Caenorhabditis elegans: one gene and its partner. The protein of the gene in region 1 interacts with the protein of each later gene in a biochemical or structural test. Each region holds a gene or a part of one and is shown in the gene's direction. Other genes may lie near its edges.

Region 1 (7,291 bases):
TCTGCCAACACCTGATAAATTGTTTCTGCACTCTGTCCACACTTGACCTCCTGTCAGTGTTTATTTTTAAGTTTCGGGAAAGATAACAATAGAAAGAGATGAAAAGACAAAGAGAATTGTGAGCCGTGACGTCACATGTTGGATATGCTCACCTGATTCAATCGCTGATTTTGACGATGGAGCCACACAAGCTGGTCATCGTTAGCACCTGTAGACGGGCCATTTGAAGCCTGTAAAATACTCGGTATGTTGATTGGAAAAGGAAAAAAACAGTCGAGTGGGGAAATTGTTTCAAAGCAGGGGTGGGTGGCAATGTTGGTACAAATTCGGCAAATCGGCAAATGGTCGATTTGCGGAAATTGTAGGAAATTTGTATTTTTGGCTAAAATTGAAAATATTTTCCAAAGATTCATTATACTATTTTGCATCATAAAAGTGGCGTCTAACAACTTTCCCGCTGGCGCAACACCACCTATAAGCTCTTACAGATGTACTCTTCCTGAACACAAATTTTTAAAAGTTTTTTAAAAACAGTTTCAGACTTATTTGTTGGAAAAAAAAACTTCACAAGATCTCCGATATTAACACTTTTGTCATCTGATGAATAATTTCTAGAAACACAACATTTGTCATGTACCCGAATGACTTCATGAAAAGCAATCAGACAACAATTATTTGTATCTGATAACCCGTAAGCAAAATATTTTTCTGGTTTAAATGTCAGTGACTCACAACGGACTTATCAAAATTTTACTCTTTCATATGAAATAAGGAAATTGATTTTTGTTGGGCGTGTGGAATGTATAAATATATTTTTAAAGCTTATTCTCTAATGAATACATTAATTTTGGAAAATCTCTGGATTCAAAAAAAAAATTTCCAGGTGTCATTTTTGCGCTGCGGATTCACTAGGATTGTCATATTAAAAAAAAGGAAAAGCATTATCGTTCAGAAATTAATCTGTAGTATGTTACAGAGTCCCCATCCCATGCAGCCAATGGTTCAAGCTTTTCTCCTAACTCCATAAAACTTACGCTGTCAACTAAAATGCACAAGGCTGTCACGAGATTCACTTGTCATGTACAAATAACGTAGCTGTATAGGGCAAAAATTGTATAAAGCGCATGATATAAAACGTTTTTTTTTGTTCAATTTCGGTATGTTTTGTAGTCAGAACTGCGCTGGCGTCGGATGGAGAATTGTAATCCCTACCGTTCTGTTATGGTGCGTCGGGAATCCTTTATCACTAGTCTCCATCACTGCCAAAATACGACGGTTGAGCTCTGTGATGTGGGCTCGGAGAAAGTTGAGCTTCTGCTCATGTACAGCGGGATCCTGAAAAAATGCACACGTACTTGTTATTCTGACCATTTTACGATTTTGTAGTACTTGATTGTATCTATGAGCCCTTAAGTACTCCTACTCATGACACGTACTATATTGTTCAAAGATGACAACGTGATTTTGAACAAAAACAAATATTTGTAGCTTCCAAGTCCTTATAAACCAGTTTTGACAGAGTAGTAGTTTGATGGACCTATTCCACTTTCTAAATTCTTTTTTATAGTATTTTTTTTATAAGTATCTTTTCAAATGAGGAGTAACGGTTCTGGGTATTTTGAACGTAAAAAACCCTAAATGTGCTCAAATAAACAAATTTTGTAATGAAAATTCTCAACAATTATTCAAAACATCTTTATGCCGATTCAAAATTTCAAAAAAAAAACTTGAAAAATTGGAGATTTTAGCAAAAATTAGGCAAAAATTAATAGTTTAGAATACCCATAACCGTTTCTCCTTCAAGTTTTTAAATAATTTAAGTTGTGTCATATTTTCCTGTAATATCATACACCCCCCCCCCCCCAATACAACTTCCAGCTCAGCATTTTCATTTTCTTTGATCAAATTTTTCAGTATGAACCAGGAACTGATCCAATCTGCCTACCCACACAATTTTGCAAAAAAAAGCCTGCCCTCTTAAAATAGGCTCATTCTAAATAATTGGATAAATTGTCAGTTCTTGCAGTATACTGTAGCCCATAAAGTCATGCGTGGTACCATTGAATTTATTGCTTTTTCTCTAGAGCTCCGAGAAACATAACGAGCTCTAAGAATTACTATGATCTAATTGAAACAGAAGATTCTATGAAATCATAATGAAATCACGTGACATCACTGACACACTTGGGTTCGAAATTTATCAACAACTGTTTACTGAAACTGACTGTCTAGGAGAACTGCAATTAATGACAGGACCTGAGCAGTGCAAGTTCCTGTTCCTGGTCAAAATTGAATTTTTTTTTGCTGAGTATGAATTTTTTGACACAGGGAAAATATTTTAAGAACCAGGACATTTAACGGTTCTCTCCAAAACTTTTTTCCATAAAAAGTATCCATACTCGGAGAAACTTTTTTTAGTCTACGGATACTTCAAGTGGTGACAGATAATGGAAAGTACCGTCAAAAGAAAAATCTTAAATGACATGATTCCCACAATTTTGTAATGAATTTTGACCCGGCTCCTAATACTATTCCAGACCTGTACTTTTTTAACGCTTACCAGTGAGACACTCCCTTGTTTCAAGAGCCTCGCTTTTTTCTGAACCGAAAGCAGACGTTCTTTGTACCATTCCAGAAGTTTTGTCGCTTGATCTTGGCCACGTTTCAACATTTCACTCTCTTCTCCTTGAAAATATTCCAATCGTGCCTGAAAAAAATCTTTCAATTTGGAAATAAGTCCCAAAAATTAACCGAAAAATAAAGTGCCGACCAAAAACTAGGTAGTGGATCGAATGAGAAAAACATGTTATGCTACTCCGTACCGGGCTGTCTTCCAAGCCGAACTTGTACGACTATCCCAGGAGAACTAATCTTATAATGAGTAGATCACTGGCTGTCACTACTATTGTCTACTATACTAATAACTGGATACCTACTACTTCCGATTTGTCAAAACACCAATTTTGTCAGTGCTTCTTAATAAAAACTTAATACGTATTTAAGACATAAAGTATACAAACCGTATATAGTTTTCTGGGCAACATTTCGAATAGCAGACTTCCAATACTGTACAGATTTGTACTATGCTTCTAATTTCTGTTTGCTCTGCAGTTTCATAGCTGTTACCTTGAATCAAATCGGTTCCGCACTATGAGCACTATTCAAAAATTGTGACCATTTTCCCCATCTCTTCCAATTTCTGACCAACGTCATTTTGAATACAGAACCAATCACGCAACTCGCCCACCCGCTCGGCTCGATACACCTCAGTTTTTCTTCCCATTCTCTCCCCCCATTTCGCCTGATTCGCGTCTTGCCGCATTCTCGTTATCAATATTCCCACTGGTACTTTATATTGTTATAACTCCGCCCCGTATATATTATGAAAGCCGTATAAATTTGGATAAGCATCTACTGTAATCTTCATTGTTTTCAGCTCTCTCTCTCTCTCCCGAGCTCTTTCTTCGGTTTCACTTATTCTCGCTCAGCTCCCAACAACGCGAGAAATGCGAGCAACCCTCGTGCTTTTTGCTTTGCTCTGCGCAGTTTATTCTGAAGCAGTTCCGCTTCAGGTCTATCGTCCTGACGAATCATCGGTTAGTGGATCTTTGCCAGTAGCATCTGTACTGGTTTCTACTTTGAAAGTTTTTCAGGCTGTCGATGTGGTTGTCCTTGAGAACTCTCCCGAACTGTACGACTCTGAAGATGAAGATGAATGGAAACAAGAGGAAGAGTTCACTGAAGGAGCAATGGGCAAACGAAGCATTGCTCTCGGACGAAGCGGATTCCGCCCTGGAAAACGGAGCATGGACAACTTTCACACTGTGGATGTTAGGTAACTTTGAAGCCTCGTTTGGCTTGTGCAAAACAAAACCTGCTGATTTTCCAGTGATCTCATCATGAAACGATCAATGGCAATGGGAAGATTGGGACTGCGTCCGGGCAAGCGTTCAATGGCCTACGGCAGACAAGGATTCCGGCCGGGAAAGAGATCCATGGCATATGGACGGCAAGGATTCCGGCCAGGAAAGCGCTCAATGGCCTACGGTCGTCAAGGATTCCGGCCAGGAAAGAGAAGCAATGACATGAAGGAGGTCTTCCCACAACACGTTCCAGAAATCTATATAATCTAGAGAACCTGCTCCGACTAATTTGAATCGATCTCTTTGTAATATTCACCGTCATCATCACTGATACTTTATGTACAAACACAGCCAGATTACCGGAATGAAATCGTGTTCTGTTTTTTAGAGTTTTTTAGAGCCCAGTTTCAGAGAGTAATGGTTCGGAAAGAAGTTTCAGACAGGGTGAATATGAATCACAAACTATTTTGATCGGGGATTTTATGCAATATAAAGTCAGATTTACTAATATAACATGTAGGTCAGTTCAAAAAATTTTGTTGAAATCAATTTGTTGAGCCATGTGTCCACTACCAGTGTGCCAAGTTTGAAGGCACGTATGGGTCCGATTAAAATTTGCTCTTTTTCTTTTAGCCTTCCAAAAAATTGTCTCCATACAATTGAATAAATTCTATATGTAATCGCACTGACAATATTGAAACCTTTTTTTTTTCAAAAATTTTCAAAAATTCAAAAAATGCAAAAACTCACTGCCTACTGTTATTCAAAACTGTACTAAATGTATGCCGGTTCGCAATTTTTTTTTGTGTAAGCTGAATTAAAAAATTCTCAGAGGGGTACCCTGTTGTTTTGATCGATGTTCAGCTCATTATGGAAACGTTTTTTTTTCTAGTTGGAAAAACATCAGTGACGTGGGATAGTATCATCTTCAGCTCGTCGTCAGTAAATTGTTAAGAAAAAAAATATTTTGAAGGGAAATCAGATTGTCCAATTCCAAAATTAAATTATAATTAGCCGCCTATAAAACCCAAATCTGTGGCAATTTTTCCGCAGTTCTTCCAGGCTTTTCCGCATTTGACCTTTTTATCACTGATGAGGAGGTATTGGAATTTTGAATGTATGTACCCAAAATGTGCTCAGATGAGCAAATTTCTAAACTTCTCAAAAAAAATTGTTTTTAGTTCCTAGATACACCTATAGTCGTTGTATTCTATTGTAGAAGTGTAGTCCCTTTACGAAATCGTTAAAAAACTCGTAAAAATCCGATCCTCCAAAATATCGTAGTGTCAGTTTTCCGGACTACAAGACCACGTTTTCTTAATAGGTGCTATAAAAAGAAAGACGAGCAGAAGGATGTCCTCAGTCCCACCTGATATCACTTTCAAAGTCAATGGCAGCTCACCTCGTCATTTGGATGGCACTTCTTGGAGTCTCAGCTCATGCTTTGGAGCTGGGTTTTTACTCGGTGAGCTCATATGAACTGAGCTACTTATTTTATCATTTTATGTAATTGTAGCAAATGAACATTTCAGGAACATCCAACGTCTAAAGATGATTCCTACGAATCCCAACTTTTAGATTCTAATGACCTAGACCAAGATGATGCTGTCGACTTGGCGACCCCTATGATTGTTATCCCAAACGACGAAGATGAGATCTATGCCGATGAAGAACCGGAGCCACTAACTATGGAGAAGCGTCTTTATATCAGTCGTCAAGGATTCCGGCCAGCAAAGCGATCAATGGCAATTGGCAGAGCTGGAATGCGCCCAGGGAAGCGTGCATTTGCAGCTGGATGGAACCGCGGAAAGCGATCAATGCCATTTGCAGAGAGCTATTATCCTCTTTACCGCAATGATTTCTCGGAGTAAATAATTTTTGGAATTTCTACAAACATTAATTTTTACTTGTGAATCAAATAAAGTATCTGTATGAAATGATAGCAAAGACATGAGTAATCATCACTGATCACTAGAATAAGGAACTTTTATCATTCTAATTTGAAACCCACGTTTCCAGAGAACAAATCATTGTGGGTGTAAAGCAGTAGTTTTTGTGCAATTTTTCGCATGTTACTTTATGAGTTCACAAAACCGAGAGCAACGTTTTCCAAAAAAAACATTCACCGGTTCCGGTCGTTTAACCGTTTTGCTCCGCCTTAGATGTAACAGAGCAAAAAGCATATAAATTCTGGCCGATCGAGTTGTGCTCACTATACCCCCGTTTTTTATTCTTTTTTATTCTCGAACTTTCCCAACTCGGAAATGCGTTCCATAATCGTCTTCATCGGATTGACGATCTTCGCGTTGGACATTCTTCTGGTCCAGACCTCAGCTCTTGGGCTTCAGGTTAGCTTTACACAATGTTAAAGGAAAAGGGTACCGATCAAATTGTGTTTACGACGGTTCAAATTTTCGAAAAAAGACCTAGATGTGTTTGTTTGTAAATTAGCCTTAAATCCCCAAAAATTTTTTTTTTTTATTATTGACTCAATTTGCACATTTACATCGTTTTTTTAAGTTTAAAATTTCAAGCGGATAGGCAACCAATAGGTTACAAAATTTCAATTTCCGTCCGAATTAGGCCATTTTTATGCGAAAATTTTGAACCGCCACAAAAAAATATTGAAAAACTTTCGCGAAAGTTTATTAAAAAATTCATTCATTTGAGGATATTTTGAAAGTATAAGTTCAAAAATTCCCAAAATCGAGTTCCTTCAAATGGCAACAAGCACCGTAATTTCAGGGTGGAATCGATGTCTTCCGCGGATTAGGAGTTGTCGATCAAGTCGATTTCAATCAGATCCTTCACCGAGCAAACTACCTGCGCAACACTCGTGAGGGGCGCTTGCGCTATTGGAGACTCCGAACCCTTCCAATCATGAAAAAGTCGATTGCGATTGGGCGAGCCGGATTCCGTCCAGGGAAACGAACAACGGACGAACTAACTGGATTCCCAATCGGAGTATGAATTTTCTGATGTTAATTGTTAACCGGATCATTCCGATATGTTTAACGCTACACCAATTATTTCGTATTTTGCATTGTTTTCATTTATCTGTCTAATTATTCTCAATAAACAAAACTGTTAACTTGAGATTTTTTCTTTAAAACTTCGTTTCAAAAATGCCATTTTTTCTGCAGAAGCTAATAAAGAAGGCTATGAAAAAAGTACAGTGGTGGGCACACATCATACGATTTTCAAAACCAGACTAATTCAGAGTCAATTAAACGCCTCCAAAATACTCATGAGAAAGTGGAACCGAAGTTGGAAAAAACGGGAGAAAATTAGTCTGCTATTTTGCTCGGTTTCAAGTTTTTGATATCTTGTGTTTCGGACTCAAAAATCTGAATCTGAAACTTTGTTTTATTGGTTTTTTTTTAATGTTTAAGTTGTCCAGTTTTAAAGGCCCAGTTGCACCAATGAGC
Region 2 (9,478 bases), 7.7 Mb from region 1:
CATTTCCTTTTTTCGTTCCACTCTAATGAATTTTTGACAATGTCTGTAAGACTGATATGATCCTTAATTTTTCTGAGAATAGCTTTTAGTTCTATTCATTGAACTTTGCGTGTACATTTTCTTTTTTTCTGCTATTTCTTTTTCTCAAATCACATTGTTTTCATTAGTTTTTAAAACACATTTTAGTTTTTGGTTACTTTCCTAGAGGATATTTTGTTTTCTGCCTTCAAAGTTTTCTCTATATTTTCTTTTGAAATTGATAGTTTATTTGTTCGTTGACAAAACGTTCCTAAAAAGACGAGAACGACTTTAAATGAATGTAGTACCTTACAAATTGCAGAACTATTTATTAGAATACTCCAAATTCTTGGCTTTTCTTTTTTTGGGTATATTTGTCTCGATACATATTTCCCTCTGTTTTTTGGCATATTGGTGAGTCTTGGTTTTATCTTGAACCAAAAATCTATTAGACTATAAATTTAAAGCTTTTCAATTTTATTCTATCAATATAGTTTATATCGGTTCTTAAGGGAAGTCAGCATCCTGTTGACGTTCAGTATTCTGACAAAGTTTTATTTAAGGAAATGCGTTTGGGAGCTCAAAAAAAAGGGAAACTGACTTTTTCGTCGGACTCTGAAAAACAGAAAAACGGAAATTCAAATCAAGAAAAATATTTTTTGTTTATTTTTTAAGTTGTTATCTTTTACAAATTTTCTGGGCCACATTTCGTCATATTTTATGTTTCCTATTTTTCAAATTAATTTTCCACTTATTCTTTATTTCATATGACTGACCTTTTTGGCGACGTCTACAACAATTTCAGTAGTCCAGTCCTCCACTATTTGAGCTCCTCTCTCTGTTTTTATCTGAAATTTAAATTAGCTGTGGGCGTGTGTCTGAAGGTAGTTCAATTGTCTGTCAGGGAAAAAAATAAAGAAATGTATTGAAGAAATATTTGTCAGTGAGTCAATCGGGTATACAAATAATGAATTATCGAAATTATAATCAAGAAAAAAACAAATGAAATCATACCTCGCACACCTGTCTATATTTAGATTTTAGTGAAATTAGGTCAAACTGTTAAAAGCGGCGGTGATTTTTCATTTTTTCGGAAGGCGGAAAATTTTGCATGATTTCATACATTTTCCTTACATTTTGGCACATTGAATTACATTTTTATTTTTAAGTGGATATCATATTTTTTCCAAAATTAAATCTACCTGAATGTGAACACTATCGCCGTCATTGTAGATTCCCAAAGGGATTCGAACACTTGATTCTCCAGTTTTTACATATTTCCAAGCCGCTTGTTCTGATTCAGATTTATGGCGAACTGTGTACATTGTATCTGAAAACTAGGTTTTGTTTGTTTGTTCTCACAAAAATGCTGAATTGTTCAAATTTTATCAGTTATTTTATCGGAAGTGATAAGAAAATTTGAAAAGAAAAAATCAATGCTTTGGAGATTCATTTCATTGACAAGCTTAACTCGGAACGCTTAAATTATCATATCTAAAGATATTGTACATACTTACTCAACTTCTGAAAAAACTGCCTCCACTTTCCACATTAGGGAAGCAATTGAAGAAAGGTTTCTAAAGTCTTATGTCCTAACTTATTGCAAAAAATTGTTCTTACTTTGTGATTGCGATCCTGATTGCCATTCCACGTAGATAATATCTAATTCTGGCACAATTCGTGCTTTCGGCTCTCGAACCACCGAGATTGGCTGAGATACTGTGAGGTACAAAAATAGAAGTGGTAAAAGTATAGGTTTCATGGTGGAAACACGCAGTTTGAGCGGCAGGGGTAAGAAGAAGCGAAGGTAGTAATGAAAGTGCGACGACAAGGGCAAACACGAGCCGCCCTGGTCAGCGGTATCTCGAAATGATACATTGCAATACGCAACTGGCCATTCAAAATGTAATATCTGAGAGTTTGTGAAGGATAAGTGTCACTCTTCGGACACAAATTACAGCGGATTTCAAACTTTAAACCAGGAGTGAAAGAGAATAGGATTGTTGGAAACGGTTGATTTTGAATTTGTGATTAGATGATTCGCTTATCTCCGAAGTTTGAGTTTTAAACTCCAAGCTCAATGAATTAAGAAAAAGGTTCGGATGGTTGACCGAACATCAAATTGTGAAGAAAGGGGTAAAGGTCAAAAGTTAGAAAGTTGAACTCTAGTGGTTTAAAATATTAAATCAAAAGGAAGAGAACAATGGGTTAGGGTTCTCGGTTGAAATGGAACACACATTTTCTTTGGTTACATCTATATCTGTATTCAACAATCTCTGGTACATGTGTTTTTTGTCGTGCATTTTAGTATGAAATATCAATCGAAATGAACAAAATTTGACAAATGAATGAAAATATAACTGCGAAGGCCGGTCGGCGTGAGGCCGGCGTGAGGCGCCGCCGCCGCGCCGCTCTCACATGGAAGCCCTACTTTATTCACTTCGATCTTTTTATAGTGTTTTAAATACTTTCCAATTTGAGAAACACGGAACATTTCTGAGAAAATCGTAAATCTTATGAGTTTTCTGGGTGGATTACTTATTGGAAACCAAGACTGCCAAATGGGTTTTTGAATGTTCTCAAAAACTGTCGGTTTTTGCCATTAGGATTAAAAGCGGGAGAAACGAGCTCTCAGAACTTATACGTTTCTCTAGTTTCTTTTTCCGTTCCACTTACTCGTACTCATAAATATGATGTAGTTTTCAAATGGTTTCTAGAACCAAATACATCACGAAAATGTATATTTCTAATTTCCTACAATGCGATGTTGCGGGTCGTTGTTTTTTCATAAGAGAGATTTCATTCAGTTCGTTAGTAGTTCCACTTTTAATTTGATACTTTGTTTGTAATGTAATTTTTAACGATGATCAAGTTTTTTTCAACGATCATTAATATGTTTGTAATCACAACATTACACATTTCCGAATACTGTGCTAGCAATTAATAGATGCACAAATGGTTTTTGCTGTGAAAAAATTCTGTCCAATAGGATTTGTTTCAAGTTTTTTTTTTTAACTTTGATTATTGTTAACCATTTTACTTTGATTCCTGCAGTTGCTAATTCTCCAAATAGATTTTATGTCGGTTTTATTGAAAATTTAAGAAGTAATAATAATAATAAATATTATATTTTTAAATTACCGTTGTCGGTACTTGTTGAGATAACCAATACTGTAAAATTATGAATGCGATGGCAAATTGAATAAGCATTTTTGCATCTGGACATTTAAATACTGCATTTTGTTGGTTTTTTTTAAACATTTGCATGACTGAGTCTCAGCAAGATCTTTCAAATGTTTTTCCTTTGGTATTTTCCAAAGCAACTTTCAAACATTTCTAATTTTTTGAAAAACTATATTTTTTCTCAGTTGTGATTTCACCACAGGTTCAAAAGTTTACATCAGACTGGAAAGCTCCAAATATTGTTGTTTATAAAGAAAAATACTTTTCATCGACGATAATTGCAGTTTTCACGCCAATATTGCTATGTCTGCCTAAAGCTAACATATTTGTAAAGCAAAACTACGCCGGTTGATTCTGACAATCCTTTGGATTCAAATAGTTTCTGGAGTTATTCTCTTGTTTTCACACTTTTCTATGTTTTTCGTTTAACACTCCAGCCACCGTATCATTTAGCAGTAGTAACATCTGTCATGGCATCGTATTATTTACCAGCTCGATGAATACTACATATTTCTTCGCAAAAATGAAAAAAAAAAACGCAATTTTGTATGCCGAAAGTGGTAGTTTGTATAATCAAGCCCCTCCTATCTCGGTTTTCGTTTTACCACATCTCACTCATTTCTCATTTCCGGACAGTCACCAGCAAAGACACCTCACTTCTTTTTGCTAGTTTTTTTTCATTACTTACACTATACTACAATTCCAATTGTGAAACTTTTCAGAAAATGAACAACTCAACATCGGATACGTTTGTCATGATGCATTCGACTTCAGAAGTTATCGAAATGTTTTACCAGCTTGCATTTTTCATAATTGGTACTCCAATCAATATTTTTGCTTTTGTCAAAACAAGTCGGTAAGTGTTGCTAGAGCTAATACTCTTCTAACACTATAAAAGTAATAATAGCTAATTTCACATTTTGCAAATGGTTTGTCAGTTAAACTAATCTTATGTTAGTTCTGCATGCAAGACTAATTTTTATTAGTCTTAAGCACTGCAATATTAATAGAGAGAGCTGCAAGGCTATTTTCCAAGAAACCGGGGGGTTTTAAGTAATTGCAGATCCTTTTTGCATACTCGACTATCCGTGATTTAAAATTCGAACGATAAACAGTTTACTGAAGTACCTGCATAACCTAAGCCGCGCATATAATTTATTCACGTGCCAAACTATTACAAAACTGATTAAAAATTACAGTCATCGTTTTGATGTTTATTTTTTGTTCATGTTTCTAATTTTATTTGTATATTCAGAAATGTTCGAGAAGGAGGCGTGGAGTCCAGACTGGTCAAGCTTAGTCGACAGCTACTTATTGCCCACATAATGGTTCTTTTTATGTACGGGATCTGGAGAAGTTATTGGATATATAATATCGTCTGGACTCAAGGTGTAGATAATCATTTGAATAATAATTTTATTGTTTTTTAGGAGACATTATGTGTCGAGTATTCAGTTTTCTTTGTGCTCTGCCTTTTCATCTTTGGTCGAACATGGTAGCAGCTATTGCAATTGACATGCTTTGCTGTATTACGTAAGTACTCTATATCGGAATCACTGACTTATATAGTTTTTTTTTTCAGATCTCCACTGAGCAGCTATCGAACAGGGGCAAACCGAGTTAATTGGCTTATTACTCTTGCGTGGGGCTTTGCAGTTGTATGTGCATCACCAATGAGCATTCTGCGTGGAACCATTCAGATCAACGATGAAGATATGTATCAATGCTACCCAAGAACTGATGTATGTCAATTTCCTGTAATATCTAAACGAATTCTGTTAACATATAACGTTTCAGGTATTCAATGATGATGTGTTAATTGCATTCAACCTGTTTCATGTCATAACTTCGTTTTACATTCCATTGTTGATTGTTATCATATGCTATTTGGCTATCGGGGTATCGATACGGAAACAAATGGCGGAACGTCGTTTATTACAGGTATAATGCAATTTTGAAAATCTAACTTTTCAAGTGGAGGAGCCTAAGTTACGGAAATGTTGAAAACTAAGGATACATTCTCGATGAAATTCTGAGAAGCCAAAATTGTTCTACTTTTTTACTTCACCAAAACTTTCAGTGAAAAAATTCAACTTTTTTAACATTTTCTGGCTTATAAATTTTATAAATTTTAAAAATGGAAGCTGAACTCTTAAGTGCTTTAAAAAATGTGGAAACGTAACTCATGAGTGACTAACTTGTTATAGACAGTCTTATTTTTTTCCAGTGATCTTATGATCTGTATGATCTAAATATATCTGAAAACAGAAATTCATTTTTGGGTATAGAATGACTATTAATAACATTTTTGATTTGGTTACTGGAATAACACATCAATTGTATCCTTGAGAAAAGAAAAAAAATTTAACAAACAATTATCTGCTTGAAATCATCACACCTGGTATTTTCTAATGACAAAATAGTTATTTTATTCGGTGTAAGCAGATTAAAGCAAACAAATATGTATCACTGATGATTTTTTGTTGTGAAATTATGCAAAAACAGTTACACTAAAAACCAACAAATAATCAAATTAAAAATTGGAAAAATAAATTCATACAATTAACTTCATTTATTTTTCCAATTCGATACACGTAACAATTAAAAAACATAAACATATTTGTAGGACGGAGGACAAAGTGGACAAAAAACGAACAACACGAAAGCAAGATTTCTCAGAGCTTCTGTGGCAATTATTTGTACGTTCCTGTTCACATGGCTTCCATATCAAGTAGGCAAACTTGAAGTATCGTTTCAGTTATAGATACCGTGAATTTTAAGGTTTTGGCTCTTCTTCGAATTGTCTGTGTTTCTGAAAATTGCCAGGAAATTGTGAGCAAACTGAATTGGTTACAGGCAATTATTATAGCAAGGTATTCAGGAAAAAACATTCATTAATAGTTTTCCCTAATTGTTCTTATTTAGCACGTGCATCAATCCATTCCTATATCGTTTTGGCACTGAGCCAAAAAGAAACTCGTATTACTGCAGTACTATGGACACTGCTGGTAAGGAGGTATGCATGACGGTCAAGTGTTTTTCTTCTCTTTACCTCCGACACTCTCTCACTTCAAAAGCCCTTATCTAATCACGTGGTTAATTTCAACTCCCCTTCTGGAAACCGGTTATTTTCTATAACAAAATTTATCAAACTGCACGTATTTACGTCTTTTATCATTTGAGATAGAGTTCATGATATTCTCAAATTGATCAACCAATTTATGATGAGATGGCGTCAGTTGTCGAAATGGCGTCATACAAAAAGAGACTAGAAACACAGCTTATTAATTTGTGAACGTTCACATTTCAATTAAAGTGACCTTCTTCTCCTAAAAAATTTTTTTAGATTAAGTTTGCAGTAAATCCCCGCAGGTGGTGTGATTTTAGAACTAGACATTGTTAATTACACTATCACACCGTCTATCTTCTAATCACATTTCTCTTTTTCTTGCAACAACGACCTGTTCCACCACCACCTAGAACTACATTTTTCGCATCTTGATCAGCATCACTTTGCAGGAAGTCGGTCTATCCGCCGATCGACGACGGTCCGGGAAGCCGAGGCCCAGCGGATTGTTGCCGCAGCAAATCGCGCACACCGAGAACAAAACTCCTCCCAAGTGTCGCCTCGAGGTACACGCGCCACGGTTCGAGAACAGACGCGCGTCGCAAATCGACTCAAAAACACCAAAAGTAATGAGGTTTAGATGCACCGGATCACTTGACGGAAAAGCTGGCAGATGCTGAGGAATGACCATCAATTTGAAATATTTCGTGTATATTTTTATGTAACAAACTGGAACTTCTGATCGTTGAAAAACTTTTGTCGAACCAACAATGCGAAGATGTACATTATGTGATGTAGCACATTCCTCTGTTTTCAAGAATAATCCCTTCTGAGAAAAATTAATTTATGGTAATAAAACTGAGTGTGCTCTTTTGAAAGTGTTGTTGCATTTTTTGGGAGAAAGTTATGGATGTTAAAAAAAAAACAATTCCTATTCGTAAAATATCTTCTCGTGAAAATTTTTGGAATCTGGCCCAAATGCATGGTAGTACACTTTGCATATTGAAGCCATATAAAATTCATCTTTCAAACTAAAAACTTTCGGAAAAACGGTGAATCTCAAGGAAATAAATATTTTATTTGTTCCCGAGAAAACTATAAAATCTTACAGATCAAATGAAATTTTTTGATCATTTTCTGTTCCGGTTTGTTTCTTTTTTGCAATCCCCTTCTTTTGTTGTTTGACCTGTGTTTTCCCAAATTCCCATCCAGACACCACACTACATACAAATAACTGCAATAAATCTTGCCACAGCACTATAATCTAATTGCTCGTTGTTGCAGTAGTAATATACCTGTCTAGAGGTTACTCTTCTTTCCAACACCTGTCCTTGCCTTTTTATTGTACACTCTGCTCTCTGTCTGCACTCCCATTCTTTTTCGTTCATCTCTCCCTGGCTCTTTTTTTTTCTCATCATTTCATTTTTGTCTGGGTTGTTTAGGAAATGATACACGCATAACCCTTGTCAGATCTTGAATCATCGTGATCTCTTCATTTTTTTTCTTCATGAATCGTGTTGTTTCTATCACCTTATGCCAACAATTATTGTATCTACAATTATAGTTTCAATAAAACTATCAACATTCATAGCAGTGATTGTTTCTAAAATTGTGTGACAGAAAATAGTCGAAAAGTGTTTTCTATTAATTATTCTCACAAACCCACACAAGTGACAAAAAACGTATAGAACATGTGCTTTAAAAATCATTATGATTTATAGATTTTGATCACCTTCATTTTTTCCAATATTCTTCCATCCATTGGAATATTCTTCTACATCAATGAAACAATATGAGAAAAAACCCAATTAGTTTTTAGTTGTATTTTCAAAGACACGCACAGAAAAAACACACAGAAAGTGTCAAATTCTTTGCTGTTATTTTTCTGAAATGTCATGTTATTTTTCCTAACCTATGTTTAGGTCACCTCATCTGTTGCCTACACCAGAGATCTAATATACTTTGCCCGAAGCGAAATGTATTTAATGATACCAATAATAAAAGATACTAAGTACACTTTATTATTCACCTCGTCCCTCGCAGTTAGTTCTGGCAAGATAATATAGATAATATTGTCGTAAAATTTTTTATCAATTTTTGTGATATTGATATTTCATTTTGTCACTCTCCCACTTGTCTTCAAAATTCCATTTCAACGAAATCTATTTTGAAAAAATAAAGCATCGTATAAAAGAGGTTTTTGATTCTTTGACCTTCACAATCGATCATCTCCCAAAAAGATAAACCACGACAAAGTGCCCAGTATTTGCTAGAAGAATCAATTTAGACCCGACTCCTCCCATCTTTTTTCTCGTGTCTCTGACCCTCATCTAGATGCCTATCAGTCTATAGTTTTCATTATCCACGGCATTGTGTGGCAATAAGAATAGTTAAAAGTCAACTTCATACCCTTTGTAACATTTTGTTTCAATTTTTTTTCAATCGATAAATGTCGTTTTCAACTTAATATTGATTTCAGGTAGCTATTAATCAGGTGTGAAAATGATCCAAAACGAAGTTTCCGCTACACATGGATCAACTAAGTAAGTTTTTTTTCAAAAAACACGCACTCTACTAAAAAAAATTTTTTGAATCAGGTTATAAAACAAAAATAACACATAGTTAAAACACAGTTTTTCTGGCTTCAAAACGAATAGTGCTGATGCAATCTTATTTGAAAACTGTAAATAAATGAGGCAGAATGAATTCAATACCATAAAGTTTGAAATTTAAGGTATTTTTTCTTCTCTCGAAAAGAAAATTGTAAGAAAAAAAGAAGCACGTGTAGATAAAAAATTCGTCTAATCTGCTTGAAATCAAAATTTTCTATAGATAAGATAAGATAAGACATTTCAACAGTCTAGCAAATTCACTTTTGCAGGAAAGGAATCACCTATAACACAATCTTAGAAGCCGCTCAACGTCCAACTCCACTTGTCCCACTCAAAAAACTGAAGGTTGAACATCAACTTCAGAGTGATATTTGTGAGTTTTGGTGACAAAAAGCTCATTAACGGCACACTAAACTCTAAAGTTTTCTGAGCCTTTCCGATAGGTTTTTTATTTATTCAACCTCTTGAGTCTGTTTGTTAATGAGATTGTGGTCAAGGGAAACTTTTTTCATTTCAGATGTGAAGCTAGAGTATCTCAATATTGCGGGATCTTTGGAAGACCGTACCGCTGACAAAGCTTTCCAGGTAGGAAATGGGA

Evidence for each region.
Region 2: the proteins of nlp-2 (region 1) and gnrr-3 interact in a test that uses a peptide from one of them, tested with the Caenorhabditis elegans proteins (one large-scale study listed by BioGRID).

What each region holds. Positions count from the first base shown.
Region 1 is NC_003284.9:2,340,901-2,348,191, reverse strand, and holds nlp-2 (Neuropeptide-Like Protein), read left to right. Parts: upstream 1-3,425; 5' UTR 3,426-3,506; coding exon 3,507-3,596; intron 3,597-3,653; coding exon 3,654-3,835; intron 3,836-3,889; coding exon 3,890-4,133; 3' UTR 4,134-4,245; downstream 4,246-7,291. Other genes in the region: nlp-23 (Neuropeptide-Like Protein), read left to right, coding at 5,254-5,328, 5,396-5,734; nlp-22 (Neuropeptide-Like Protein), read left to right, coding at 6,128-6,211, 6,609-6,833; T01B6.1 (uncharacterized protein), read right to left, coding at 153-230, 1,213-1,335, 2,561-2,707.
Region 2 is NC_003284.9:10,045,534-10,055,011, forward strand, and holds gnrr-3 (G-protein coupled receptors family 1 profile domain-containing protein), read left to right. Parts: upstream 1-3,926; coding exon 3,927-4,057; intron 4,058-4,456; coding exon 4,457-4,590; intron 4,591-4,631; coding exon 4,632-4,734; intron 4,735-4,783; coding exon 4,784-4,943; intron 4,944-4,998; coding exon 4,999-5,142; intron 5,143-5,827; coding exon 5,828-5,932; intron 5,933-5,982; coding exon 5,983-6,074; intron 6,075-6,126; coding exon 6,127-6,217; intron 6,218-6,720; coding exon 6,721-6,948; downstream 6,949-9,478. Other genes in the region: ZC374.2 (Fibronectin type-III domain-containing protein), read right to left, coding at 795-866, 1,221-1,348, 1,639-1,780; Cystathionine beta-synthase cbs-1, read left to right, coding at 8,771-8,811, 9,150-9,253, 9,398-9,465.